Linked DNA regions of Saccharomyces cerevisiae S288C. Changing the gene in region 3 together with the main gene of any one other region gives a genetic interaction. Each region holds a gene or a part of one and is shown on either strand. Other genes may lie near its edges.

Region 1 (10,591 bases), on a different chromosome or scaffold from region 3:
AGCAGTACCGACCCAGTGCATGCACAAGTCATTGTACTGAACAACAAACTTGTCGATGAAGCTGAGGATCTTACTTGAATCTTTACTGGAAAGGTGGAAGACTTTTGGTAAGAGAACTTTTTCAACGTAGATTAAAACATGGAATACAGCAAACGCGAAAAATGGGATTAAGCTGAATGAAAATCTTGGAGTGAACAACCAGAAGTTGGCCAAAACCAAATAAAGCACGTCTTCACTCTTTAGGAGTCCAGCAACGCGTGATTTTATGGAAGCCTTAGTGGCAGCGGCATCTTGAGTCTGCAATGGTTCATTGCGGGTGAAAAATTGCTGGTAAATGATGATACCGAAAGATTCGATGACACCGAGATATGCCGATCTGTAATAAAATTCTGACATCTTGAGCAGGTAAAGAATGGAGCTGATCAATACGACGGAATGACCGGTAAACCATGCAAACTGCAAGCTCTTGGCTACTGCCATGAACCTTTGCACGAGCGACTTATCTCTGGCAGGGAGGTTTGGGGGGCCTTGGTTATTAGCGGGTCTTGATGACATTATACTGACTATTCTTGGCTAGTGTTTCTTGCTCCTTATGAATAGAGAAAAATGACTTTTTTTAGATGTAGTAAGTATGTCATTTCAGGGATGGTCTGCTTGCTCTTTAAATATTTTTTCACCCTTTTAAAATGGGGCCCTTTCGCCGTACCAAAGAAGGAGAAATATACATTACGTATGTAGGTTGCTACATTTTACACAAAACTATCAATGCCTTCTAGGCTTCTTCTTGACCAGTTGAGAGAGATCATTGAAGTCACCAAGGGGCTTTTCGAGGGCGGGGAAGCCGATGGAGGTCGTGGGCTGCGAAAGAGGCCTCTTGGAGCCGTGCTGCTGATTTTCTTGCACCTCATCAATATCGTCTTGAATCTGTGCGAGCCTTGCCTGCTGTAACTCGCTGTCCTTGGGTCTTGTAGTCATGTGTTTTTCAAGCAGAGCCTTGGCATGCTTGAATCTTTTTAGTTTGTCCTTAGCCGGCACCTGATCAACCCACCTTAAAGCATCACACACCAAAAATTCTGCTTGTATCACCTTCTCAGTTACTTGTTCTGCGGGTTTCAAGGTCTTGTAATAGCCAAGCGCCTTCAAGTAATGATGAATGGCTCTACTGAACATCTCCGCCTCCCTTTCGATGTCACCCATCAGGATATACACATCACCGATGCGCAATCTGCTGTTCTCGGTTAGAGATTGGCCATCTGCTGTAGGGCGGCCCAACAGCATCAAGGCCTGCGCCAGTAGGTCCAAAGCATTCTCATACAGATCATTTTCAAAGTAAATGTGGAAACCAGACTTGCGAAGTTGCGATACGTCTTCAATTTCATCGTCATGTTCATTCGCTGGACTGAAGTTAGCCAATTCGTGCAAAGCTAAGCGTTCTTCCTCTTTCTCCACGTTTTCTTCCTCTTCTTCGCTACCTTCGCCACTGTCCTCACTATCACCACTGTCGACATCACCAGTCAAGTCTTCCTCTTCTTGGTCGAATTGGAACATCCTAGAATTAGGAATTTCTGTTTGACCGTTCTCGTTCCCCTCTTCTCCATTGCTCACATCAGACTCAGGCTCAGACTCAGACTCAGACCCAGATCCATCGTCACCTGCCAGAAGAGCGTCCCCAAACAGATTACCAGAATTCTGTACTTCCATGTTGTATACAGCTTGTGCGAATATAGTAAACAGTTCAGGATCAGGCAACAAACCATCTTTTGGGAGAGAGTCCAAAGTTTGTTGGCAGCGTTTAGCAGCTTCTAAGAACTTTTTCTGTGCGAGTAAATCTTTTGCAATTTGAACCTGTCTTTCCATATCAATTTGAACTTTATGTCTGCTAGTTCCGTTTGCCAACACGTCTTCTGCCCTTAGTTTCATATTCTGTTACTTCTAGAAGGAGACCTCATCGCCGATGTTACCTCAAAATTGAGTAGAATGAAATAATACAAAATTGGAAAAAACGCGAAACTTCAGTGCAGTAACATATCGTTCCGACATTCTCTGAGAAGTGGTAAGATTCCACTGCCGGGGAGCTACGAGTGCTCTTGCAAGTTTTTAGACACTGCTATATCCTTCGACTACGTAACCCCATTTTTTTATTTTTCTATATAAAAACATGCACTGTATACATATAATCACGTAAGTTCAAGTCGTGCTTAAAACGGGCACAGAAAACTAACTATGAGTTGCCGTACCATACATAAACTAGGAGAAGGTAGCGCAGTTCTTTTTTTTTACCAAAGGTTTGCACAAAAAAGATGGTCTAACGTAAGTAAGTTATCAATAAAACTGTTAAAAGTAGTATAAGAATCTTGAGATAGGCTTATTATTATGACTTTTTATGGCGGAAAAGGAAGAAGAAATACTGCGCCGGGTGATGCGTGACGCGTTTTTGGAAACGATGAGAATAAACTTTGAAGTATTTTGAGAATAATATTCTATTATCGAGTTCTTTCAGCAGAAAGCAACACATAGCTACGTATAGTTCGGTAAGATAAATTTGGTCAGAAGCGTGTGAAAGACGCTGAGAAACCACGTGAGACGAAGATTCAAATCAAGGCGTGAGGAATAACGCAATACGAGCCACCGAAACAGAATAAACAAAAGAAAAGAAAGAGTAAACATGGGTACGTCAAGCGAGGTTTCTCTCGCACATCATAGAGATATCTTCCATTACTACGTCTCACTGAAGACTTTTTTCGAGGTGACTGGCGAAAATCGTGACAGGTCAAATTCGACACGAGCTCAAAAGGCCAGAGCCAAGCTGTTGAAGCTATCTTCTTCGCAATTTTACGAGCTGAGTACAGACGTGTCCGATGAGCTGCAGAGGAGAATCGGTGAAGATGCTAACCAACCAGATTACCTTTTGCCGAAGGCAAATTTCCACATGAAAAGGAACCAGGCTAGACAGAAACTGGCCAATCTATCACAAACTCGATTTAATGATTTGTTGGACGATATCCTTTTTGAGATCAAGAGAAGAGGGTTCGACAAGGATTTGGATGCTCCACGGCCCCCATTACCGCAGCCGATGAAACAAGAGGTCAGCAAAGACAGCGATGATACTGCAAGAACATCCACAAATTCTTCCTCTGTGACTCAAGTAGCTCCAAACGTCTCCGTACAACCTTCTTTGGTCATTCCTAAGATGGCATCTATCGATTGGTCTTCTGAGGAAGAAGAAGAGGAGCAAGTAAAGGAGAAGCCAAATGAACCGGAGGGAAAACAAACAAGCATGGATGAAAAGAAAGAGGCTAAACCTGCTCTAAACCCCATAGTTACAGATTCTGATCTGCCTGACTCCCAAGTGCTCGCTCGTGATATCACATCAATGGCAAGGACTCCAACAACGACGCATAAAAATTACTGGGACGTTAATGATTCTCCAATTATCAAGGTAGATAAAGATATCGATAACGAAAAGGGTCCCGAACAGTTGAAGAGCCCTGAAGTACAACGGGCTGAGAACAATAACCCTAACTCAGAGATGGAAGACAAGGTTAAAGAACTGACTGATTTAAACAGCGACTTACATTTGCAAATTGAAGATTTGAATGCTAAGTTAGCATCTTTAACCAGCGAGAAGGAAAAGGAGAAGAAGGAAGAGAAGGAGGAAAAAGAAAAGGAAAAGAACTTAAAGATTAACTACACCATTGATGAAAGTTTTCAGAAAGAATTGCTGTCATTAAACTCTCAAATCGGTGAATTATCAATTGAGAATGAAAATTTGAAGCAGAAAATTTCAGAATTCGAACTGCATCAAAAAAAGAATGACAACCATAATGATTTGAAAATCACTGACGGTTTTATTAGCAAGTACTCTTCTGCCGATGGGCTCATTCCAGCTCAATACATCTTAAACGCTAACAACTTGATAATTCAATTTACTACTAGGCTTTCCGCAGTACCCATAGGCGACTCCACGGCAATTTCCCATCAAATTGGCGAAGAGTTATTTCAAATATTATCCCAGTTATCGAACCTAATCTCCCAGCTATTACTATCGGCCGACCTATTACAGTACAAAGATCAGGTCATTTTACTGAAGGCATCATTATCGCATGCGATCACATCGATAAGATATTTCTCTGTTTACGGTCCCGTATTAATTCCGAAAATAACTGTGCAAGCTGCTGTTTCAGAGGTTTGTTTTGCCATGTGTAATCTAATTGATTCAGCGAAAATAAAATCCGATTCAAATGGTGAGAGCACCACCTCTAATGAAGGTAACCGACAGGTATTAGAATATTCTTCACCAACTGCTACCACCCCAATGACGCCAACTTTCCCCTCGACTTCTGGAATAAATATGAAGAAGGGGTTTATAAACCCAAGAAAACCAGCATCTTTCTTGAATGATGTGGAGGAAGAAGAATCTCCAGTCAAGCCATTGAAAATTACACAAAAGGCAATTAACAGTCCGATCATAAGACCGTCATCGTCTAATGGAGTTCCAACAACCTCAAGAAAACCTTCAGGAACGGGGCTATTTAGTTTAATGATTGATTCATCAATTGCTAAGAATAGCTCCCATAAAGAGGATAATGATAAATATGTCTCGCCCATAAAGGCAGTAACATCGGCCTCCAATTCTGCAAGTAGCAATATTTCCGAAATTCCTAAACTAACACTACCTCCACAAGCCAAAATCGGTACTGTTATTCCACCGTCAGAGAATCAAGTTCCCAATATTAAAATCGAGAATACAGAAGAGGATAATAAAAGGAGTGACATAACAAATGAAATCTCTGTTAAACCAACTTCTAGCATTGCTGATAAACTGAAACAATTTGAGCAAAGTTCCGAAAAGAAATCATCACCAAAGGAAAATCCTATAGCAAAAGAAGAAATGGATTCAAAACCAAAACTATCCAATAAATTTATCACTTCAATGAATGATGTGTCCACAGATGATTCAAGCTCTGATGGTAACGAAAATGACGATGCAGACGATGATGATGATTTTACCTATATGGCATTGAAACAAACAATGAAGAGAGAAGGTTCAAAAATTGAAAAAAATAATGACAGCAAACTACCTGCAAATATAGTGGAACTTGATTTACATGAGTCACCGGAGTCCGTGAAGATTGAATCTCCTGAATCGATAAAGGAAATCACGTCATCTGAAATGTCTTCAGAAATGCCAAGTAGTTCGCTGCCTAAGAGATTAGTAGAGGATGTTGAGCCTTCAGAAATGCCAGAGAAGGGCGCATCTGTAGAATCAGTCAGGAAGAAAAATTTTCAAGAACCACTTGGTAATGTCGAATCTCCGGATATGACGCAGAAGGTCAAGTCTTTGGGTATGACAGGAAAGGCTGTAGGCCCAGAATCAGATAGTAGGGTCGAATCTCCGGGCATGACAGGACAGATTAAATCTTTGAATATGGCAGGAAAAGTTGTAGGCCCAGAAGCAGATAGTAGGGTCGAATCTCCGGGCATGAAAGAGCAGATTAAGTCTTTGGGTATGACAGGAAAAATTACAGCTCAAGAATCAATCAAGTCCCCGGAAGCGGCTAGGAAGTTGGCGTCATCAGGAGAAGTTGACAAAATTGAATCTCCAAGAATGGTAAGGGAAAGCGAGTCCTTGGAGGCAGTAGGCAATACTATCCCCTCAAACATGACAGTGAAAATGGAATCCCCAAATTTAAAGGGAAATACTGTGTCTGAACCTCAAGAAATAAGGAGAGACATTGCCTCCTCAGAGCCGATAGAGAATGTTGACCCCCCAAAAGTACTAAAAAAGATTGTCTTTCCAAAGGCTGTTAATAGAACTGGATCACCAAAATCAGTCGAAAAGACTCCATCTTCAGCTACACTGAAAAAGAGCGGGCTCCCAGAACCGAATAGCCAAATTGTTTCTCCTGAATTGGCAAAAAATTCACCTCTAGCACCGATAAAGAAAAATGTCGAGTTACGAGAAACTAATAAACCACATACTGAGACTATCACTTCTGTGGAACCAACAAACAAGGATGCCAATACTTCTTGGAGAGACGCCGACTTAAACCGTACGATCAAACGAGAGGAGGAGGACGAAGATTTTGATAGAGTGAACCACAATATCCAGATCACTGGTGCATATACGAAAACTGGAAAAATTGATTATCATAAAATACCTGTTGATCGTAAAGCAAAAAGCGAAGCAGAAGTGCATACTTCCGAGGAAGATATTGATGAATCAAATAATGTTAATGGAAAAAGAGCTGATGCCCAAATACACATCACTGAAAGAAAGCATGCTTTCGTAAATCCAACTGAAAATTCACAGGTAAAAAAGACGAGCCACTCACCATTTTTAAACAGTAAACCGGTTCAATACGAGAACTCAGAGTCGAACGGCGGCATTAACAACCACATAAAGATAAAAAATACTGGAGAAACTACGGCACATGACGAGAAACATTATAGTGATGATGATGATTCTAGCTATCAATTTGTTCCCATGAAACATGAAGAACAAGAACAAGAACAAAACAGAAGTGAGGAAGAGGAAAGTGAAGATGACGATGAAGAGGAAGAAGACAGTGATTTTGATGTGGATACATTTGACATTGAAAATCCGGATAATACACTATCAGAGTTACTATTGTATTTAGAACATCAAACAATGGACGTCATATCCACGATTCAATCGCTTTTGACATCGATCAAGAAACCACAGGTGACGAAGGGTAATTTGAGGGGAGAATCGAATGCAATCAACCAAGTCATAGGTCAAATGGTGGACGCTACTAGCATATCAATGGAGCAAAGCAGAAATGCCAATTTGAAGAAACACGGTGATTGGGTGGTGCAAAGTCTAAGAGACTGTTCGCGTAGAATGACAATTTTGTGCCAATTAACTGGCGATGGAATACTAGCGAAGGAAAAGAGCGATCAAGATTATGCTGACAAAAACTTCAAACAGCGGTTGGCAGGGATTGCGTTTGATGTTGCCAAATGTACAAAGGAGCTGGTAAAAACTGTAGAAGAGGCAAGTTTGAAGGACGAAATAAATTATTTGAATTCGAAGTTGAAGTAAAGTTAGTAGTATCTAGAGGAGAAAGAAAAGGAAGACAAAGACAATCAATAGAATGTATTATGTATGACATATAATAATAATAATTATAATAATAATAATAATAGTAGTAGCAGTAATAATAATATTATTATAGTATATTAAAACAACAAAAAATTAGTAAAAATACTATAAATGTTTGAATATGAAGATATATATGTAGGAAGAATTTTTATTGAATATAGAAATTTAAAGAAATATTATTAAAAACCGGAAAATGAAAAAGAAGAGTTAAAAAAAAAAAAAACGGAACTAGTAAAAGATGTGAAAAAAAGAAGAGAAAAGTAGAACGAGAACACCCACTATCCTTGGGTATTATTATAAGTTGCAATACCATCATCCAGTATGCCCAGATTAAACCATTCATGGTCCAGAGCGTCCTTTGCGGTAATCCTTTTTGTTGGGTCGAACTCAAACATTTTCCTGAGTAGATCGATGAACCAGTACCAAAACAAGAAAGTTTCCTTATCGAGTTCATCAGTAGTTGAGGAAGAAGAGGAATGTGTTTGTCTTTTCCATGCCAATTTCGAATTTATCAAAGACCAGTTTTTCTCCGGCGGTAGATTCCAATTGATGCTTAAGCTATCGCCGTAATCCTGTTTCAAGACCTTTGAGATGTAAATATCTAAGCGATCACATGACTGCAAGACCCTTTTCATTGACTTTTCGGTGGTTATGGTATCTCCGCGTTTATTTTTTTCAGGCCATTGTAAGCTTAAAGTTTTTCTGTCGAAATGCTTTATCACCGTTGAATTTAGGTCTGATGGAGAGTTGCCCAATTTATGTTTAGATTTGTAAAACATCTTATCAATAATGTCTGTGGGGAAAGGGGTTCCATTGATTCGTTGCATCATAGCCATATGTTCTAGATTTTCATGAATGGGGTAAAGAGATTCGCCAATAACCAGTTCTACTAGGACACACGCGATGGACCAAATGTCGCAGGGGAACGACCAGCCCAAGCCAAGGACAATTTCCGGGGCTCTATAGTGACGAGTGGATATTACAGGAGGATGATATTCGTAATGGAAAATTGCGCTACCGAAATCAATGATTTTGATTTCTGGATTTTTCAAGATTTTGCGCTTCCCCTTACTGGCTTCACGGCGTCTCTTGCTTAGCGACTGTACGGTTTTCAAAGGCAATTTTTGAGCAATATGGGTTTCGTCACAAATCAGGATATTTTCTGGTTTCAAATCCGTGTGTATTATGCCCAAATCGTGCAAGAAGCAGACAGATCTGATTAGCTGTCTGGCAATGGCCTGAATATGAGAGCCGGGGAACCTGGCAATGCCGTTGGAGCACATAAAATCGTAAATGGACCTGCCGTATAGATCTGTCACCAAACAAATGTGATTTTTGTAATCGAAGCACTCCCTTAGCAAGAGGCACTGGAACTGACCTTGAGGGTCATTATTCAGGATAGTCTGTAGAATTCTTAGTTCTGTTTTGGCGGCTTCTCTATATCTATCTACAGCCCTTATCACTTTTACAGCCACGTAATTAGGTTCATACTTGTTATCGATGCATTTAAGTACTTTACCAAACGTGCCTTGGCCCAATAGGTCCTTCACAACAAAGCGGCCGCCACTGCCAAATATGTCGTTTTCCTGGTAAACGTAGTGACCGTCTTTGTCCGTTTTGAAATTTGATTTATTGGATGATGCGCTTTCTGAAGAGCCGTTTGATGTAAATTTCCGTAGTGAAGAACCAATTTGTTTCTTGAGGTTGGATTGAGGCAGGGAAGCTATTTGTGCTGGTGGGTTGGAAAAGGGAGAAGTGCTGTGAGCAATCGTGAGATTCACTGCCTTGTTGCCCTCCAGAGTCTTTGCACACGACCCCGTTAGATGCAACAGCTCATTTTCAGTTTGCGTTACTCTTGGCACGATAGCGTTGGTTTGATCAGGAACATTAAAATAGTTCGATTGGTAGCTCAGCTTCGATAGAGGCAACTGAGGCAGTGAGATGGTTCTTTGCTTCTTGAATTTCTTTGGTGTCGTGATATACGTACTATTGCTTGTAGCTGCGGTACCGCACCCTGGATTATTTGAAGTAACAATATTATTGTTGTTATTGATACTGCTGCTACTAGGCAGAATCAAAGGTGACGAAAACTGAATTGGCTGCTCTTTGATAAAAATGATGTCATCGTCAGCATCCTCGTCCACTCGACTACTGTTATGATTATTACTGTTATTGATTGTGGTGTTAATGATACGCGGCTCCTCGTCTAGTTCTATGGCATTTTCATTGTCCAAGAACAACTGGTGTTGGTGTTGCCGAGGACGGAGCGGATTGTCTGCTTGATTCAGGTCTAGACTGTTCCTCAGATTGTCTGTTAGAAAAGAATTTTGCCGAGCAAACATCTCGTCCAGCAGCTTGTTTGTGCGCGTTTCTTCGAAATTATCCAAAAAGGTCTTGTTAGAGCTTGTATTGTTAGCAGGGCCCGTAGTAGTGGAATTATTCATATTTGCTCTTGAACGTTTTCTAGTGCCAATTTGAATATTCTGTGACATAACTAAGGTACGCGGAAGATAAAGCAATAATGAAGAAGAGCAGTATGCGTGTAGATTAGTCTTTGTTGTGCTAAATCTTCGACTTGGTAAATACTATGTTTCTTTCACTCTTTTTCTGTCTCCCACTTTGTTTCCTTTTTCTTTTTCTTTTTTTTTTTTGGGTTTGCTTGCTATCTGGCGCAGTATTTCGTGAATATAATATCTATTTAGTTAGCGTAAGCACGAGGAGTTACTGCACTGTTTCCTTTCACTTGGTGGTGAGGTAACAATACTTTGTAAATCCGGTAGATCTGGGAAGTAAATACTAAACTTTATTCTAATATAGGAACTTCATAATATAAAATCCAACGCACGATGCTAGAGATAAAAAAAGAGGGTGGGAGATGTGGAGCCAGGATTCAAATCGAAAATCGTAATCGGAAACTAAACCAGCATTGCAACCGGGCCATAAGCCATATCGTTAAGCACGCCAAAGCTTTTTCCCTTCGCTGTGTGTTTCCTCGCAACTTTAACTCCGGCCACTCACTAAGCCAAGGCGTGAGGAGAGAGACTAAAGCTTTGTGGAAAACCGCCCAATCACGCTGACCCCTTTGGCCCGTTTGCCGCCCCCTAGAAAAAAAAGAAACGGACGGGCCTGGGCCCGCACAGCCTCGAGCAGGGTCACTTCGCGCCATATCGGCGGCTATTTCAAAAAAAGAAGTTCTTTACCAGTTGTTGTAGAAAGTATGATATTACCAACAGCGTCTAGCTTTTATTCGATATTCCGATGTGGGCGGCTATTTATTATCGGTGGCGTCTTTTATGGTTTTACCGTTGTTGCCTGGAGCATCCTCAGGAAGACCTAAATGTGACCATTCATCGTAGTCCATCAATTGGTGGTCCATCCTGCACCGCAGGTAGTCCTTTGCCAGTAGTCTACAATTCATTGCATTTTCGTTCTGCACAAGCTGCATACATTTGAGATACTCTTGCA
Region 2 (3,637 bases), on a different chromosome or scaffold from region 3:
CAAGGACGCCAAAGACGGATATTCTTGGAAGTCTCCTTGCTAAGAAAAGAAAATAGTTGTACTTGATCCCTATATTATATTATATCCTATTTATAACCAAGGGCTTGCCTTCGCGAACAACAAGGTATGCCATTTTGAGAGGAGCAAATTTGCATTCTAAATTCATGATAATGATATGTTCTTTAATTATTACTATATATAAACTCACTTAGTTTTCCAGCCTTTGCTCTTTTGTTCGTATAGCAAGGAATGAAAAAAAAAAATCCTGAATAAACGTCATAGTAATTTTCTTCCTTAGTTAGATACAAAGGATTTTGAAATACAGTATATGCACAATCGCAACTCATTAAGAGCATAGGAAAGTATTCAATTTAAAGAAAAACATGATGGAAACGATGATATAGAAAAAAGAACGGAAGCAAGCGTTAACTGTGATAGGAATATGCATAGCTTTTTCTTCTTTTTTGTTTTATTATTATTGTTGAATGCTATTTGCTGAATCAATTTACTTGACGAATGGTGTAGAATAATAAATATGCCTGTTCCTTTAAAACCTCTTCTTGAGATATAGAGGAGACCATGGAATCATTGAATTTAAACCATTGCCCTCCAGAAATTTTACAAAATGCAATATAATGTCCCTCATTAACCGTCCCCTTGTGGGAAACAATACCGATTAATTCGTAAATAATGTCTGGAACCTTGCCATTTTCAGAATGCTTATCTTTTTCCTTCGTTGAACAGTAATTTTTCATATTTAAATAAGTTGGAAATTCAATAAAATCGTCTAGTTTTCTGTTACTTCCATTAAGTAGGTGTTCGAATCTTTTCAATTGCAAAACCAAAACCGATGGTAATTTGTGTATGCCTAGTTGCTTTATTGCATCTTGAGTGCTGTTACACTCCCCACAATGATAGTTGAAATCCTTCAACTGTTCTTTTTTATGGAAACTGTCAAGACATTCATAAAGTTTTTTCTTATCCTTGATATCCAGAGAAAGATCCAAGAATGGATCAATGGTTGTCTTTGAATTATTTTGACAGCCTGGACACACAATAGAACTTTCCAAGGAGCCCTCAAACACAGTATGCACTATGCATTCACACTGCTTATTATTTGCTCTGCTGACTTCCTTGGCATTTGGCAAATCAAGAACATAGCTTTGGTGGATTTGGTTAATTATAAACTGCCAAAATTCATGAGCATCTTGTTGTGAATACCCTGCTAGATTTTGATTGATTTTCCAGGCACAAGTTAAAAGATATATGAATCCGGTTTGCCGATTAGTAGATGTAGATGACGAAGAAGCTTGCTTTGTATTCAGCGCTCCATAAAGTTCATGAACAATTTTATCGAGTGCACATGAAAAACATTTATCTGGAGAACGCACTTTACAATTATTAGAATGAATTTGACTCATTGAGTGCCTAATAAAGTAAGGGTTATGGATTAGACATTGGAGAATACTACTCATGAAACAAGTGGATCCCATGTTGATCAGGCCAGAAAGCCCATCTCTTCTTTCCATGCTAGGAACCATGGTCTTTGTGCACACGTCGTCCCAATACTTCGCTAGGATAGCATCGTTAATCAGATCGATATTCCCTATATAGTCCTCACATTTGAAGCAAAATAAAAGGCCATTATTTGAGTTGATACCAAATATGTGACCAATCTGTTTACTGTGAGAGAGAAAATGCGAATGGTTCCAACATCCACAAAATCCACATTGTAGACACATGAAAGTTGCACCAGAGTTTATTTCGTGGCATGTACCACATTTCATGGTGTTTAAGAATTTTTCCTTGGGTACGGAATGATTTAATATATACCTGGCAGCATTGCACGTTTTTAGAACCCCATCTTTAGACTTTTCATTCTGAAATACTTGCTGTATATGTGGACAAATGCTCATAATTATTAATAACAAATAAAAAAAGCAGGGTTTCAAGTAGGACGACGAGGACCGAAGCTGTAGTTTTCCCTTTTGATCCGATCAATAAATAGTATTCAAAATTATGACAGCCAGTTGAAAGAAATGGACTAACTGGTCTCAAAAGAAAACCTTTATTATTATCCGTAAAATATCTTTTTAGAATTAATCAGGTCCACTAATATAATCCCTTTGCTATTACGACAGCTTTCTAGCCCATATACAATATAAATTATTGATGCTTTTTACACACTATAATCGAGGATTTTTTTTCACTTGAAAAATTCAAAGAAAAGCAAAAAAAGGAAGAATAGAGAAGAAAAAAAAGGTATAAGTGAAGAAAGAATGTGCAATACTACAAGACTATAAGATTTAATAGCTGTAACCATGACGAAGAATGTATTGATGTTACATGGGCTTGCGCAGTCAGGTGACTACTTTGCCTCTAAGACAAAGGGGTTTCGCGCCGAAATGGAAAAGTTAGGATATAAACTCTACTATCCAACAGCACCCAATGAATTTCCCCCAGCTGATGTTCCTGATTTCTTGGGTGAGGTAATTGCTGATGCACCTGGGGATGGTGAGAATACCGGTGTGCTTGCGTGGCTAGAGAATGACCCTTCCACCGGTGGCTATTTCATACCGCAGACGACAATCGACTATTTACACAATTATGTCCTTGAAAATGGTCCATTTGCAGGTATTGTAGGATTTAGTCAAGGAGCCGGTGTAGCTGGATACCTAGCAACGGATTTCAATGGTTTGTTGGGCCTTACAACAGAAGAACAGCCGCCGCTAGAATTTTTCATGGCGGTCAGTGGTTTCAGGTTCCAACCACAACAGTATCAAGAACAGTACGACCTGCATCCAATATCGGTCCCATCTCTACATGTTCAAGGAGAACTTGACACTATCACAGAGCCGGCCAAAGTGCAAGGCCTATATAACTCTTGTACGGAAGACTCTCGCACTTTACTAATGCACTCTGGGGGCCACTTTGTGCCGAACTCAAGAGGGTTTGTGAGAAAAGTGGCTCAATGGCTCCAGCAGTTGACCTGAGGCAAGTATATATAGCACGTAATCTTCACATAATCTTCACATACATATTTATACATGATTAAATCCTCCGGGTAATAATACGTCAAATTAACTTAACTACCGATACGATGCTTCATTATGATAACGATAACAATGGCATCTATAAATGATTTTATTCCTCGTTAGGCCAGTATTAGGGCAGTAAAGACTGTAATGACCAGTACAAGAACGTTGAGATACGCACAGGTTGCCTGTGCTTGTATCTGGTGTCTTTTTTCAGCTGGTATTATCTTTGGATTTGCTGCTTTGAAACCTATTTTAATTTCAGAAGGTGTATACCATGAATTGTGTGATCCTAAGGATGGTGATAGATTATTATGTACTGCACAGGATCTGAAATTAAATTTTATATTTGCTCTCAGTGCTACTGTAACAAACATCATGGCCCTTCCTGTCGGTAAGATTTTGGATATGTATGGACCTCGTGTCTGCGGAATAATAGGATCATGTCTCTTGTTCCTAGCAAGCGGTAATTTTATTTCTGCCAAGCATCTAGTGTCTCTTTGGGACCCATATCTTGTCGGTTACACGCTTTTGGCAGTTGCCGGTCCGTTCGTCTTCATTTCATGTTTTCAATTGGCAAATAGCTTCCCACAAAGATCAGG
Region 3 (8,588 bases):
GCTACTAATGAGGTTGGTAATTCCGATGAGCAAGATAATAAAGTGAAACAGTTTGGTACATTGGAAAACTTAGTCATCGATAGCTTGATGGCAACGATAAACTCGATAAAACAGTTGGATATTGGTAAGCAGGAAATATACAATGGGACGATCAATGTTGAATCAGATATTCTTTTTCAATTGCTACTAACTTTAAAAGAGATTCTGAACGAATTTGGTGAACTGTTAATGAACTCTTGGACCAATATTTTCAACATCATTAATTCACCATTCGAGTGGACAGTTGAGGATACTGATTTTTCCGTGAATGAGGATATAGATGATTCATCTTTATTTGAAGGTATCGTTCAGAAGCATAAGAACATGATCCAAGTGTCATACGATGTTTTTAAACTAATTTCTGATGATTTCTTACAGAGTTTACCTATGAGTGTCATTAAATTCGTTATTGATACGCTTGTCAATTTCGTAAGTCAGAAGCGAAATCTTAATATCTCCTTTTCTTCTATTAGTCAGTTCTGGTTAGTTGGAGATTATCTCAGAGTCCGCTTCAATCCCGAAACATTAAATTTAAGTGATGAGAAACGTAGAAGTCTCTCCGAAAAGATTAATAATCAAAAATTAATTGAAATCATTACATCCAGTTCATCTCATGATTGGGAACTTTACAACGGATTATGGATATATCTTTTGAAAAATTTGATCAATTGTACTAATGATGATAGAGTAGAAGTTAAAAACGGTGCTGTGCAGACTTTTTTCAGAATCATCGACTCCCATTCTGTTTGCTTCCCCCCATGGGACCTAATTTTCTTAGAGGTTATTGAACCACTGCTTACCAAGGAATGGTCCACTGAAGAACTCGAAAATGAAACTGATTTTATAAATGTAACATTGCAAGGATTAATTAAGCTTTATCCGGAACACTTTAAGGACTTCAAAAACAACACTACCTGCGCCAAGGAATGGTCAATGTTATTAGATTTTTTGAAAAGATTGTTGTCTTCCACTTCTAATAATACCAAGAATGCTGTAATATTAAATTATCAAACCCTGCTGAAAGAAATCATCACTATTGAGGACGTTCCATCAGATATATTGAAAAAGTGCTGCGAAATATTTACCGACTACAATATTACGTACAGTGATCTCTCCACAAACGCATCGAGCAAAACTGAATACGATTGTATATACGAACTAATAACCGGATTTCCTCCTCTTTACCAATTAATATCGAAATACGATGCGATGACAGATGAATTTGTGGAAAAAGTTCTTCTTTTATTCAATTCTGCCATAAAATATCCTCTCTTACCTGAGTTTGTCCAAGACAAAACTAAACCGTCCTCTATGCAAAAGGCCATATTGTCTGGACTTGATATATTTATGACAAATGATTCTAAAGATACAGAAATTTTGATTCTTCTCCAGTTAAGTACAATATCGATATTGGCTTTTGATACAAGGGAAAAAATAACAAAAAAACTTGGACCAAAGCTTCCAAAAGCATCACTTAACAGGTTACCAACTTTTGAGGCAATCAGCTATATGTCATGTTCTAACCTGAGAAATAGAATAGCAAAAATAGATCAATTTGGTATATCCACACTGAAAGCAAAGCATATTTTAAGAATATTGAAAAATTTGGCTGAAATCATCAAGCGAAAATCGCTTATTACAGGGTCAGAGAGTGATGAAATCCCCATATGGGTTCTTGCTTCCAATTGCTTCTGTGATTTGTCGAACAAAATTTTCAAATCACTCCAAGAAGATGCAGAAAATCCATTAAAGGATAACTTTTGTGATTTATTTATAAATGTTATTGTTGTCACATTACAAAGAATCAACCCAGAGCTCGATAATTTAACCGAGATAGACGATTTGAATGAGTATTCCAAATATAGGGAGATATTGCTGGAAAACAGAATCATTGATCTCTTCAATGAAAGGCAATTAGACACTTTCATTTATGCCGTCTGGGATTGTTCATTTTTATATGAATTCGATGAATTAGAAAATGCTTTGATGCAAGACTGTGGTACGTTTTCTGAATTGTCTCAAAAACTATCTTCGTTCGATTTTTCATGTATATTTGGATCCACCACAAATCCTCGCTTTCAGACAAAATATAAGTGCTCTTTAGAGTGCTTGCAAGATTTGGTTAATTTTATGTTGAACACAAACGAGAAATTAAGAAAGTTAACTGCTCCTTATCTTTCTGCAAGAATTGCCCTTGCTCTTAGAAGATATATCTCAGATGAATACTTGATTGGGCGAGCACCAATACCAAAATTGCGTAAAACAGAACTAGCTACTCTATTAAATGGGCTATGCGTGATTTTAAGAGGTGTTCTAGATCAAAATTCGACCCTTGGCAACAAACAAATTGGAGTTGAAAACCTACAAACATTAAGTCCGTTGATTTTAAGAACCATCCCAGTATCTCATAAAATGGATGGCCTCCAAGATAAAGTTTTGGAATTATCACTTGGATTTACGAAACTAGACTAGAAGCTGAAGCATGGACGAATATTTTTAAAAATCACGTAGGATAAATAGTAATATTAAACGACATTGGATTGATTATTGTATCGTTGCAGGTCTTTTTTTATTTACTTTAAAAAAAAAACTTTTAAGGTGAACGTATTTATATATTATGCCATTGGTATGCATAGCTAAAAGAAAAGAAATACATAAGATTGTAGTATGTATGATATGCTTATAGAAATAGTTGTGTGCTTCATTCCTTCCACTCCAACAGTGATGTCAAATCCTTTGGATCACATGCCATATTGAAAAAACCGTGGTGTAAAAGCTCTTCGGTTGATGCCCTATATCTAACATCTACGCAAAGGCAAACGCTTAGAAAGCGTTTAATTTCTAAAGACAAACTTTCTGGATGCTTGAGCTTTGGTGTACCATTAGTTGCAATTAAGTACAACGCCTTTAGTGGATCTTCATTTAAATATGGTGGTTCACCCTCCAGCATTTCAATGGTCATGATACCCAAAGACCATACGTCAATCTTTTCATCGTATTCACGTTGTTTGACAACTTCAGGTGCCATCCAGTAAGGTGTCCCAACCATAGTGGCTCTTTTGCTTCTTTTATCAGTTAATCTGGCGCAAAACCCAAAATCGGTAATTTTCACCCTAGCTCTAGTGTCCAGCAAGACATTATCTGATTTAATATCCCTATGAATGATATGCTTGTCGTGTAGAAATTTCAAGCCTTGGCAAGTTTCTCGTACGATATATGCAATTTGGGGTTCTGTTAGTGGTGAATGTGAATTATCGTTGGTGGGACTATTCTCGATAATGTCTGTTAGTGAACCTCCTTCCATAAACTCCATCACAACCCATAGGTCATCGTCTGTTCTCAAATAAGCCTCGAGAAAATTGACGATATTTTTATGACGTGAATCCTTCATAACCAAAATTTCATTCACTATGAGTTCTTTACGAGGTTGTTTAGATAAGACCATTTGCTTGATAGCAACTTTATCTCCTACGTGCGGCTCATCAATATCATTGTTTATGAGTTCGATCATATTACTTTCTGTCGGAATATGCGTCCTCTCTGCAAGGTAGACGGACCCACTTGCACCTTGACCGGCCTTCTCGATCACTTTAAAGCATTGAGATGGATCCGCATTTACGGTGACTTTCTTCAGCTTACTCATTATTTCTGCAGTTGACATGGTAGGCCTTGCTGGCTTCTTCGGTTTGGCCACACCACCCGGTTGTGCGACATCTGCATCCGGTCTCTTTGGGGCCTGCCTCATTGTTTGTGGGGTTGACTGGTCATTCTTAGGTGCAACAGGCTGTACATGTGTGTTACTAGTAGCATTTTGATTTGATGGGTATGGCGCCCTTGGAGCTGATATTGGTGGCTTTGGAGCTGTTCTTTGAGGTTGAAAGTGTGCGGCTGTAGGACTTGAGTTTTGTGCATAACGTGGAATTGCTTGGTTTTGGGTCGACTGTGAACTTAATGGCGATTGAGGTTGTTTGGAATAAGGATTTATCATATTGTGATGTGGCCTATAAGGGTTTAATGGAGACGGAGATGGGGATGGAGATGGAGATGGTCCTTGATGGTGGTATGGATATTGTTGATGCTGTTGTTTTTGTTGCTGCTGCTGCTGCTGCTGCTGCTGCAAAGATCGTTGAGAATTGTTTGGATGCATAGGTCCCCTAGGAAATTGGCCATTGGTTGGGGAGTGTCCGTTTCTCATCTTAGGATATTGTTGGTTGGGAACATTTTGTAAGTGTCTTGGAATATTTGACTGACTAGTGGGCAATTTTGTATTTATTGGTGGCAGTGAGCCGCTTCCTAGAGAAACAGGCGATTTGGTATTTGGTGGTTGTGAGGTTTTCCTCTGTGATACCATACTTGAAGAAACGCCTGAAGATGACTTTGAATTTACTGAATTATTTCTGAGTTTGTTATCATTATAGCTGTTTGGCAGCGATTTTTGAGAGGAGGAAGTTTCACCACTTTGAGGCTTGTCTAAAGTATTTGTGGGATTTCCGGCTCCATTATACTCTTGATAAAACTGCAACACTTGAATGACAGCCGCAGAATTATTGTTCCAATCTTCTCCTGTAATTCTGGAGTGCTTTAATAATTTTTCCCAGTTGGTGGGCATACCAACAAAACTACCTGTTTCTGGATCAAAACCAACGTGAACTTTATGTGTGAAGTTTGTTGGAGAAGATACACCACTTAATAATGGACATTTAGCAAAAATGGCGTCTAACCAACTATGCAAATCGCTTTCTGTCTTTGTAGCAATGTATATTGATTTTTTGGAGTTACTGTCTGATGATACATTCAAAGAGGACGAGGATCCTGATGATACAGAATTTCGGTCACTGCAGCGCACCAACTCAAAACAATATTGTTTCAACTGTGTCCTGCTTACACTTATAATACTAGTTAGTGGTATCTTCAAGATCGCATCGTCATTTTGTTTATCGTTCTTGTAAAGGGCTACATACGAATCGTGTAGCATCAGGTATCTCTTTTGCCATATAAATGAAAGTATACCGTCATCTTTGTAGGACACCCACCCGCTTTTTTTTTTGGAGGTACTTGTACCTAAATGGGACGCTGATGTTAAATCCAGTTGACTCATAAGTTTGGTTATAGGTTGCGTTTGATTATAGCAAGTACGGCCCTGGCTATTTGAACTGGGAGGTCTAGGTGCCGGTCCGATATTTTGGAAATCGTTGTCAGATATCTTATTCGCTGCAGCTGAAAGAGACATATTTTGCACTATTTCTTTTATGTTTCAGTTTCACTGTTCGATTTATTACACCAAAGAAACCACCAGGAATGAATGATAGCAAAAGATGCAATGGTTTTCAGTAGCGCAGTACGTTCGATCGAAATAAAGGACTTAAGGTTTTGATCTTATTAGCAGCAGAAGCAAATAACTGGCAACGCTAATACATGTACAAGGCTCAGGCTAGAAGGTTCTTTCAAATTATGTGTCTCGAATCAGACTCTCCTGCACGTTCCATACTATGTTTCTATCATGCCAGAGATGAAAAATTTCGTCATCTTACCGGCTCGAGAAAATTTCCATATCGGGAAACTATCCTTTTTTGGTGGCTCTATATTTCCGGAAAGGGAAAATACCCACGCGTTTGATATCATTAGCTTATTGTTTCACTTGGACATCGATGTGGTATTCTTGTATAAATAGTAAATAGTCTATAAGAGTCTATATTGTGTTAAAGAGCCTGGCCTTTAGAGAGCCAGTAGTCCCTTCTCGTTTGAGCATCTACTGTCTTAGTTTCCAGTGGTGATTTCTCATCTTGTCCCGAAGGGGTATCTCTTCCTTTTTGATCTTGATCGGATTCTTGATCATTCTCAGAAAGTCCCATCAAGTCATCTATGCTGAGGTTGTTTTGGTGTAGGAGAGAGCCCTGATCAGTTTTTTTCACTTTGCGTTTCAATTTGCTTCTGCTCACTCCAAAATCCGGAGGTGGAGATGGAATGGCACTCTTTTTGATTTCCCCTTCTCTCTTATCCTTTTTTGCCTTCTGTTTCTTCTTTGCAGGTTCGTCAAGTTTGTAGATCTCCTCTACTGGCAAGTCTTCGGTGTCGTTTATAAATAAATCTTCTTGAACTATCCTCGTGCGCCTCTTGTGGTAGCGCTCGTTTTCAATGATGGCTTTATTCTGCACTAAATCTCTTTCGTCGTTGAAATCTCTCTTTTGCCCACGGTATTTGATCACGTTTCCGAGTATACTTTTTCCAACGCGGTCTTTGAATGTAGCAGAATTCAATTCCCAGCATTTATTGACCAACAGTTCGAAGGCACCAGCAAAGGCCTTTTTTATATCCTTCATATTAAAGGAGCCTCTGCTTATATTATTGTTAGGATCACCAGGATCTTGAATAGCTAGCGAGAATTTACTCCTTGAAGGTTCCAAAGTTCTCCAACACGATTTAGGAATATAAGAGGCGTAACCATCAGATATGCTTATAGCAACGTCATCATAACCAAAATTTTTTCCGTAAAGTTCGAAGAAGTCAATCAGTAGAACACCCAGGTTATCTAGAACGTCGATATCGTTTGATTTTATTCGCGGATGCATATTTAAAAAAGAATAAACCAAACAGATTACTGTGAAACCTCCCAATCCTCCTGTGTGCACATTGTTCAATCGTCTTGAATGCAAAAATTGTTTTATTATCAGTACCAGTTCACGTAACCCTGGAGAGTCTCTTAGCCATTCCCTGATGAGTTTTGCAGCCTCTAACCCGTTCGTTCTTTCAAATGAAACGTCGATATGTAACTGTGATTGGGGCTCTATGAATTTGATAATAGGCACTCGCGTTTTAACAATAACCTCCATTCTTATAGCTAGCCCTTTGTTTTTCAAATGTCTCGCCAATTCATAAATGTAATTTCTGTCCTCTTTATCGCGATTCCGGCTGTTTACGACACAGTCAATGTCAGAACCCGGCAAATATAAATCGGTGGCAAAAGAACCAAACACATGCAAATCTGCATCCGACCACAGTTCCTTGACCGCCCGGCGTAGTTTATCGATCGTTCTATTTCTGCACTTGATTTCGTTCTTGCTTGGAGAGATATAATGAACGAAATCTTTGATTTCTGAAGTTAGCCAATCTGCTATTCTCCTTTGTTTCGAATGACAATGATTTCTTATCCAAGGATACTCCACATTGCAAGCGCTTTCAGTGTTCAGAGATTGCTGTGAAGTAAGCTTAGAAACTTCATGTTCATCGGTCAACAGAAAACTGCTTCTTTCATCATCATCTTCCTTTATTTGTTCTGTTTCATCTTCAGAGCTGTCCGAAAAAGCAATAAAATCTTGATTATCTTCGAGAGAATTGTTTCTTTTGCTAGATTCTGCCCTTTGTTCATCTTCACTTGATGTGACTTCTTCTATTACAGGTATGTCGACATCACTTTTATCATTTTCCATTAAGACTAGGTTTCCGAAAGTGTCATCGTCTTCAACGTCGATAGCGAGGCTCTCGTACTTGTTAAAATGCGAGCGATTATCGTTAAATACTTCAAGCATTTTTTGCGTTCTTGTGAAGGATGATTTACGCATACGTTTTGTATGTTTATCTTCTTTTCTTTTACCTTTTGTAGGTGAATATTTTGCTTTGAGCCTTGTCATGACGACCCAATAAACTCCGCCCTCGTTTGTTTATTTGAAAAATAAAAAATGATACGCTAGTGAAACGAACCAGCTTAACCTTGTGAACTGTTATTACAGATGTTTGCTTTCATCAAGTATCGCTTTATTACCTTTTTACAACTTTTTTTTTTTTAACTGCGATGAGATGAGATGCCTGGAAATTTGCGGGGGGTAACCACAAGAAAATAAATGTAACATATCGTTGAATTAGTATGTAGTTATGAGTTTATACAATGGTCTAGTAAGGTGCCTTCTGCGTCCTTATCGAAAGGAACTTTAGGAGAATGAAGCAGACGTTCCTTTATTAAGTATGACCAAGGAGTCCTTGCTTCGAAGCTAGCGAATCTGGTAACTGAGGGAAAATACATATCATGTAGATAAAAAAATGTGAAATTAATGAAATGAAGCGGAATATCCTTCCTAGTTTAAGTTGTCCATGCAACTTATAACAAAGCAAAGGCAGCAGCACCCATGATGGCACCCATACCCGCAACGGAGCCTTTAACGGCAGCGCCGACGTATGTGCTGATCTCATGGGTGGTGGTGTTAGCTTGGCTACTGATAGATTTAGTGGATAGAGTGGCAATGGTACTTGTAGTGTATGGAGTGGAAGTAGTTTTCACGGTGGAGACCATAGATGTAGTACTTTGTGGGGTGGTGGTAACATCTACGTAAGTGACACCATCAGAGGTGGAATCTGCGGAAGCAAATGCGGCAATGGCAGCAACGGTGGAGAGAGTAGAGAATTTCATTGTATTTTGATATTGATATTAAAGGAAGGTAAAAAGTTGGTTTAAAATTAGCCGAAGGCAGGGATAAGGAAGGAATGCAGTTGGTTTTCTATGGACTACTCTTTTAAATGATATATGTACCAATAAAGATGGAGTAGGCGTAATAACA
Region 4 (7,060 bases), 370 kb from region 3:
ACAGAAATTCAAAGGTGGAACGATACGTTCTTGTGGGGCATGTGATACCAAGACCTTTTCGCGACCAGATTCTGTTTCTTCATTGATATATATATGATCATCATCGTCGTCTTCTTCCTCGTCTTCGTCTTCTACTTCTTCTTCAGGTACGGATACGTTCTCTTCTGTGAGGCGGGACTCATCCTCTGGAACGTCCTCATATTCACCAACTTTAGATGTCATTCTAAGGGGAAAGAGAAGCTTGTTATTCCAGGTGGAACACCTCTTTCTTGTGAAAATGGATGTGATTGATGACTCTCTGCAATGTCCAATTTTATGTTATAGCGATGTTGTTTGTTTTTTCCTTTACCCGGCAACCATATGATATTGCCCAAAGTTTCCAATGTTAACAAGAATGAAACGGAAATAGCAAATGGCAATAAGCAATATAAAAACAGTCACTTTTTTATTTACTTTTGTATATATTTATAAATGTGTGTACTCGTTTCAACTTTATAGAGTTCTTTTCGTCTTAGCGTTTCTACAACTATTTCCTTTTTATTAACTTATAATACAACAGCCACCCGATCCGCTCTTGGAGGCTTCACTGGTGTTACCGCCGGGTGCAGCTTGCTGCTTCCTAGCCTGTTTAGCATTTGAAACTTGACCGGCCTTACTATTATTATTTACACGATTATTAACCGTATTAGCGCTTTGAGCGTTGGCCTGACCAGCTTGGCCCGTGGAATTGTCTATATTGGTGCGATCAGTTTGTGTCTTACCATTTGTCGCCTGGTTGCCTGCCAACCCTGTCTTACTCTCTATGCTTGCATTCCTGGCATTCACGACAGTTGTGCTACTGTTCACATTTTTACCGTTGGCAGCATTGCTCATCTTCCTGTGGCCACCGCTATTTCTAGGCACAGAGTTGGCACCGCTCCCTTTTGTATCTTGAGAAGTTTGCTTGGAGTTGTCATTTTCCGTCAAAGTCTTGTTGTACTTGCCGCCTTCGTCTCTAACTAAACGTGCTAGAGTGTAAAACGCCTCTTCCACGTTGATTGCTTGCTTAGCAGATGTCTCCAAGAAAGGAGCGTTCATTTGCTTTGCCATGTTCAACCCGTCCTGGTAAGAGACCTGTTTTTCGTTTTCTAAATCAGATTTGTTACCAACAACCACAATTGGAACATAGTCGGTATCTTTGACTCTCAATATCTGTTGATAGTAAGTCATAAGCTCATCAAGAGACGACTTGGACGTTATAGAGTAAACCAATAGGAATCCTTCGCCGTTGCGCATGTATTGTTCCCTCATAGCAGAGTATTCTTCCTGCCCTGCAGTATCCAAAATGTCCAATATAGACACTTCATCATCAATCACCACTTGCTTCCTGTATGAATCCTCAATTGTGGGATCGTATTCATCTACAAAGTGCGATTGGGTCAATTGTATGGTCAAAGCAGATTTACCAACACCACCACCACCAACGACGACTAGCTTGTACTCTCTTATGTTCGACTTGTTCAAAGGCATTTTTTTTTCTGTATATCTCCTTTCAATTCGAAAACGGTTAACTTGGTTTTTTTATCCGTAATTCTCTCGTATCTTTCTGCTCAAGTAATTTTCTCCTAGTTGATTAATATAGTGCAGAAGAGTCAGATAAAGAGTGGATGAATAAAATGGAAAAAAAACAAAAGCCGGATTGCGTTACGCTTGAAATGAGCGATTCTAGGCGATAAGAGAAGACAACGGCTAAAACTTAAGATGTTGGGGTACTATAAATGTTTACCCAGATTTTCGGTAGAAATGTTTGCTGATGTGAACCTTGTTTCCCGTTTTCCCAGATCCCCTTATTCCAGCTTTGTTTCGTCTTTGCTGTCATGTTCCGTTTAATTTCTGAAGGCCTGCCTAGCTTCACCGTCCTAAATGTCACGCTCCAGGCAGAGACATGGCGCAGGGGCGAGGCCAGGGGCAAAGGGGTCAGGCAGGAACCTCCAAGGGGGGCGAGGTGAATGAAAAGGTCCTTCTGAATAAAAAGCCTAAGCGATTAGCCACACCACCCACTGTACGGCGATTAGACTGAGCTGCTGGCGCTGCTACGCCGTGACAAGTCATTTCATCATTTATTACGTTTTATCGTGCCGTCATCACCATCGATTTGAATATTTTATCTAGACCGGTAGGGCCCAAGTATCTTGCAGATCCATTGATACGGCCACGCCCGTTAAAACGCTAAGATATATATATATGTAGCTAAGATATATATATATGTATATATTCGGTATTTAGTAGATATTTCCTTAAGGCGATATTCGCCCGAGAGCTATTTCACAGTTTTTTTTTGCAGTCGTCGCAATACCACTTGCCCTTAGGTAGAGTTTCGAGTCCAATACATGGCAAATGGAACCATTCTAGCTCACAGTCTGCGCCATCACACCCCACCATTTCCCCGTATGCCACTTGGTTACAGTAGCAGTAGAGCGGTTCGCCGTAGTCGTTGGTTTTTGGTCTTGATATCCTGCTGTTGTTGCTGTTTCCGACGCTGCTAACTCCCCTGGACGCTGTAGATGTACCTATCCTGCCATTATTGACGGCAGTTGCCGTGCTGATAGTGCTTGGTGAAACGGCTGTGGTGGCAACTCTCCTCTTGCGTTTTTTGGTCTCTGGATCGGCGTTGTTGGTATTGGCAGCGTTGGCTCTTTTTCTTGAGTTTGTGTTGTTACCAGTGTGGTCTTGGCTCTCGTGCCTGCTGCCTCCGTAGTTTGCGTCGTTCTTTGAGTCGTCTTGTTGGTGTGTGCTGGCGGAGTAATGTTCGCCCTGCCTCCTGTTGGCAGCCATGGCTTCTCTTCTTGATTCGCTCTTCAGTGCCTGCGACGATTTGCTGTTTGATTTGCTCTCTATTTTTTCCATTAGTTCATGATGGAGGTGCATTGCTGGATGGTTGTCCACACCCAGTCTTAAACCTCTAGGAATTTCTGTGTTCTTGATTGCGACTTCATACGCCAATTCTAACCGGGACGTCAATCTGTCTAGATTATCCAGCATAATGGATGAGACATGCATTTTCTCCTCCAGCGATGGCATCAGTTCTTCATAAATCTTGTTGATATTATTGAGCAGTCTTACTTGTGTTTGGTGATCTTTATTGAAGTCTTTCTTCAAGAACTTATCTATCCTCTCGTTCAAATTCGGCATAGAATGCACACATTTTGCATCTATTTCGTGTAGTAATGTTAAATATCTGGAGGTGGCCAGTGGGAATTCCTCCAGCACGTCAGTTATGTCGTTTAATCCAGGGAATAGGTTCGCTGGTGAACTCATTTGTACGTATTTCAGACTATGAACGTGGTTGCTGTTTGTGATACTGCAAGACTACAAACTTTTCTCCTTCCGGGTTCGTCCTGTTGTAAACGCCTAACTCTTTTCCTTAGGCTCCTTTTTCGTTTTTTCCCTAGCTCTTTCTTTCTTCTTCATGTGCATGCACTCTTTCCTACATATTTTTTTTTCAAGGGCATTTTTAACTTTCTTCGGAAATCGTCTAAGAATTGTAAACTATAATTGCAAATACGCGATTAGCTCTATCTAGAATACCGAAAAAAAGGTTTGCCACTCACAATTGGACGTGCCTCAATTATTTCAAGTATACGTCATTTGGGCTTTTGACTTGTAAAATATACTCAAATGAAATTCTGATTATACAAAGTTGAAACACGTAACACGCCATGTCAAGGTACGCGTAGAGGTAAGCAGATAATGCATGGACAATGTGCTGGGCGAAGAGGCGGATCTAATTACACATACTTGGGATCATCTAAGATTTCAGATGGTTATGTTAATGCTCACTTGTTCCACGCCTTTTTCCTTTCCTTCAGATAAGTAATCCGCATATCAATGTGAAAGAACTAACGGTTGTTGATGGACGTATCGTTGTCTAGCGATAAATAATGCTTTTTCTTCAACAAATAAGTGGTTGTTTGGCCGAGCGGTCTAAGGCGCCTGATTCAAGAAATATCTTGACCGCAGTTAACTGTGGGAATACTCAGGTATCGTAAGATGCAAGAGTTCGAATCTCTTAGCAACCATTATTTTTTTTCCTTTTTATCTGATTGCAGCGAGAACTTGGGAAATCAACCCAATATGTATTCCAAAATGTCAAAACACCAATTAAAGCATCTCTATATTGACAGATACAAAATATATTTAAGTATACATTCATAATTATTTTACTCGAATTAAAAAAGCCCACTTTTTGGAAACCTCCTTTTGTATTCTCATAACTATGTTTCTTTTTTTATTATTTTTTCTTAATATTATTTTCTTTAAGTATGACAAATGATGAGAATGATAGTTATCTCACTATTTAGTTGGTCTGGCTTGGAATTTCAAAAACAATTTGTTTGCCAGTCAACTTGTTGTAGACAGCTTGGAAAGATTCCAACTTGTAGTCGATTTGTTGAACATCCTTGGAGTCTAACAAAACCTTTTGGATCTTGTTACCACCAACCAAATATCTAACTCTTTTACCGACAATTTCAGTTGGGAAAACCATGTCTTCCAAAACCTTGTCGTGAACAGCAGTCAAAGTTCTGGATCTTGGTCTCTTTTGGACTTGTCTAGATGTTCTAGATGGTTTTGGCAAGATTCTTCTTTCAGCCAAGAAAATAACATGACGGTCAGGGAATTTCTTTTCCAATTCACGGGTCAATTTGGTTTGGACCTTATGGTATGCAGACAAAGCTGGAACTGGGACAAAAAGGACTAGTGCTTTCTTACCACCGGTGACATCAATCTAAACAATAAGAATCAAGCAGCGTTGAAATAAAGTTAGTAACTGAATTGGTTCATTCATAACAAAAAAGGGTTTGTGATTCTTCTCCTTGGGGTAAGGTCTTTTTCGCGTGCTTCTATTTTATTCATCGATATTGGTACTGACCAAGGAGGCCTTTATAGTTCAAAGGCTCATCGCAACGTTCATGGTATTGACAGCTCTCGGAATTACTATTTTTCTCGAACACATGAAAATTTCATACAGATACTGCTCAAAATCACTCTTTTTTGAAAAAATTACTGCAAAGAACCCCTTTAGAAGAAATCACAATGTTGCTGCTTCCAAATTATATAACTTTTAACATACTTCTCTGATAGATTTGATTTGCAATGGTCTCAAGTCAGCCTTTAGTTCTGGAGAGGAGCTTTCTAGATCGATGAAGGTCTTGGCGACTTGTAATTCCAACTCACTTGGAGCTTGGGATAAGATCTTGGATTGGACAGAGGACATTGGTCAGTTATGTGTCTAGTCTTTAGTGTGTTGGTTTCTCTTCTGTTTGTATATACAAAGTCAAATAACACATATTTTAACCATAATCAATAGCATTTGGTATTTCCCCCTCCGCGTATTATGAACGCCTAGTGAGCCCATTCTTCCCTAAAGCCAGGCTGGAAACCCAAACTGTGTGGAACGTGACTGAATTGCATTTGGTGAGTTACCAAGCAAAGGCTCGCAGGCTTGAACCACATTTTACCAGGGCGCTCGCTTTTTCCGAAATATTGAAATTAAGCAAAACAATAATGTACGGATTTAAAGAGGTACGGATGGAGACCGTAGAAAATTGACTTTTTTTTTTTTTTTGTTATTTTCTGTGCCTTTCGTAACTACTACTATGCAGAATGACAGGTAGTTGTTGTTTCGAATTGCTACTTTCACGCATTCAACTTGATCAACATTTCTCTCTGATGAAAGGTTGTGGAAAGTTTGGTCGTGTCTATAAGTAGGTGTTTTTTATTAGTTCTATATAAAAATGGAGAATGTTAATTTTAACCCACCCTAAAACAGTGATTAGGAGTGGTAATAATTTTTTGTTTAATGGATTAAAACTAAAGGTTCATCTGTACTTTCAGAAAGTAAGACACTAAAAATGGCAAGCTAACAACCATTAGCGGGTATTGCAGCATTAAGAAAAATGAAACACACTCCATTTGGATTGGCGCAGTTGTTTCTGGCGGCGTAAAACTGGCGGTGAAATATATAAGGGTAGTCATCGTTGGCAAGTTCCAGCTGATTGCTATAACAAATAGTAGCATTCTATCATCTTGCCAATTAACCCATCCAGCTTTCACTAACCGATCACACCATAGGACACCAAAAATTGGCATGACACATTGTCTCAAAATGACGAGTGTCACAGCGGCTTTCCAAAATCCAGGATAAAGGTTGCCAATCTTTAATCTTCCTAAAGTTGCTCCTAATAATATCAACCCAAATGGAACACATGCGGCACCGACATAACCTGTAAAATCCATGAAAAAGCTTAATGGTGGTGCATTGTCAGGAGCTTGGCTTATGTGAGGAGTATTAGCGGTAGTCACGAACAAAGCCTTGACCCATGGGATAAATGCAACAGTTAGGGCGATGATCACGGCCATAGAGCACGGTCTCAAACAATTCTTTAGGAAAAACACAAGTAATGGAGTTAATGAAAATTTTCTCATCCACTGTGGTAATGATTCGCCGGATGTTTCAATATCCTTTTTACTTACAGTGGCATCTGATGTTAAGATCCTGGTTAGGTTAGCAGTTTTTATAGTCTGTAAAGTGGAATTTGAGCTAATTGAATGCACATCATTCATATCAGCGCCGCGTAAACTGGAATTCCTCCTTTGATGACCATACTGGTCAACGTTGGAGTACTCTCTGATAAGATGGTGTATATTTTGAGAAGGTAATGCACGCATATCAATGGAGCGGATAGGTTCCAATGCCGCCATAGACATATTTTTTGGGCATTTTTCATCTAAACAGTTCTCTTCTAGGAGTGTGGTAGTATTGTAAGCTCTCGGCTGGCTCGCGGTTCTACGTGCTCTCATAGTATCTATGCTACTCTCATAACTCTCTGACGTATTATAAGAATGTATTGTTGAAGCAGATGATTGGCTATCTAATGGATTTGAACCACGAGTTGCCTGTGACTCTTCGCTTTGAGTGCACGCAATAGTATTTCTTGCCTTCACCTGAACTGGTTTTGTAATCTTTGAATTCGAAGAAGTGTCTGGTAGTGACAGGGGAGCTATACTATTTGTTGATCTC

The links.
Region 1: mutations in CLA4 (region 3) and SPA2 together harm fitness more than expected from each alone (negative genetic interaction), as found in Saccharomyces cerevisiae (7 studies listed by BioGRID, with this or other methods).
Region 2: mutations in CLA4 (region 3) and UBP8 together harm fitness more than expected from each alone (negative genetic interaction), as found in Saccharomyces cerevisiae (5 studies listed by BioGRID, with this or other methods).
Region 4: mutations in CLA4 (region 3) and PHO23 together harm fitness more than expected from each alone (negative genetic interaction), as found in Saccharomyces cerevisiae (6 studies listed by BioGRID, with this or other methods).

What each region holds. Positions count from the first base shown.
Region 1 is NC_001144.5:98,282-108,872, forward strand, and holds SPA2 (Spa2p), read left to right. Parts: upstream 1-2,665; coding exon 2,666-7,066; downstream 7,067-10,591. Other genes in the region: nucleoporin POM33, read right to left, coding at 1-555; HIF1 (Hif1p), read right to left, coding at 763-1,920; serine/threonine protein kinase KNS1, read right to left, coding at 7,405-9,618; COX19 (Cox19p), read right to left, coding at 10,395-10,591. UniProt on the Saccharomyces cerevisiae protein: Involved in pheromone-induced morphogenesis and efficient mating, perhaps as a cytoskeletal protein.
Region 2 is NC_001145.3:714,994-718,630, reverse strand, and holds UBP8 (ubiquitin-specific protease UBP8), read right to left. Parts: upstream 1,917-3,637; coding exon 501-1,916; downstream 1-500. Other genes in the region: MRE11 (MRX complex nuclease subunit), read left to right, coding at 1-56; FSH2 (putative serine hydrolase), read left to right, coding at 2,322-2,993; FMP42 (Fmp42p), read left to right, coding at 3,186-3,637. UniProt on the Saccharomyces cerevisiae protein: Histone deubiquitinating enzyme component of the transcription coactivator SAGA complex. SAGA acts as a general cofactor required for essentially all RNA polymerase II transcription.
Region 3 is NC_001146.8:65,596-74,183, reverse strand, and holds CLA4 (serine/threonine protein kinase CLA4), read right to left. Parts: upstream 5,270-8,588; coding exon 2,741-5,269; downstream 1-2,740. Other genes in the region: MON2 (Mon2p), read left to right, coding at 1-2,511; non-canonical poly(A) polymerase TRF5, read right to left, coding at 5,739-7,667; TOS6 (Tos6p), read right to left, coding at 8,132-8,440. UniProt on the Saccharomyces cerevisiae protein: Involved in budding and cytokinesis.
Region 4 is NC_001146.8:439,062-446,121, forward strand, and holds PHO23 (Pho23p), read right to left. Parts: upstream 3,298-7,060; coding exon 2,305-3,297; downstream 1-2,304. Other genes in the region: putative tyrosine protein phosphatase OCA1, read right to left, coding at 1-222; Ras family GTPase RAS2, read right to left, coding at 541-1,509; PLS1 (Pls1p), read right to left, coding at 1,736-1,858; 40S ribosomal protein eS7 RPS7B, read right to left, coding at 4,337-4,765, 5,111-5,254; YNL095C (uncharacterized protein), read right to left, coding at 5,851-7,060. UniProt on the Saccharomyces cerevisiae protein: Component of the RPD3C(L) histone deacetylase complex (HDAC) responsible for the deacetylation of lysine residues on the N-terminal part of the core histones (H2A, H2B, H3 and H4).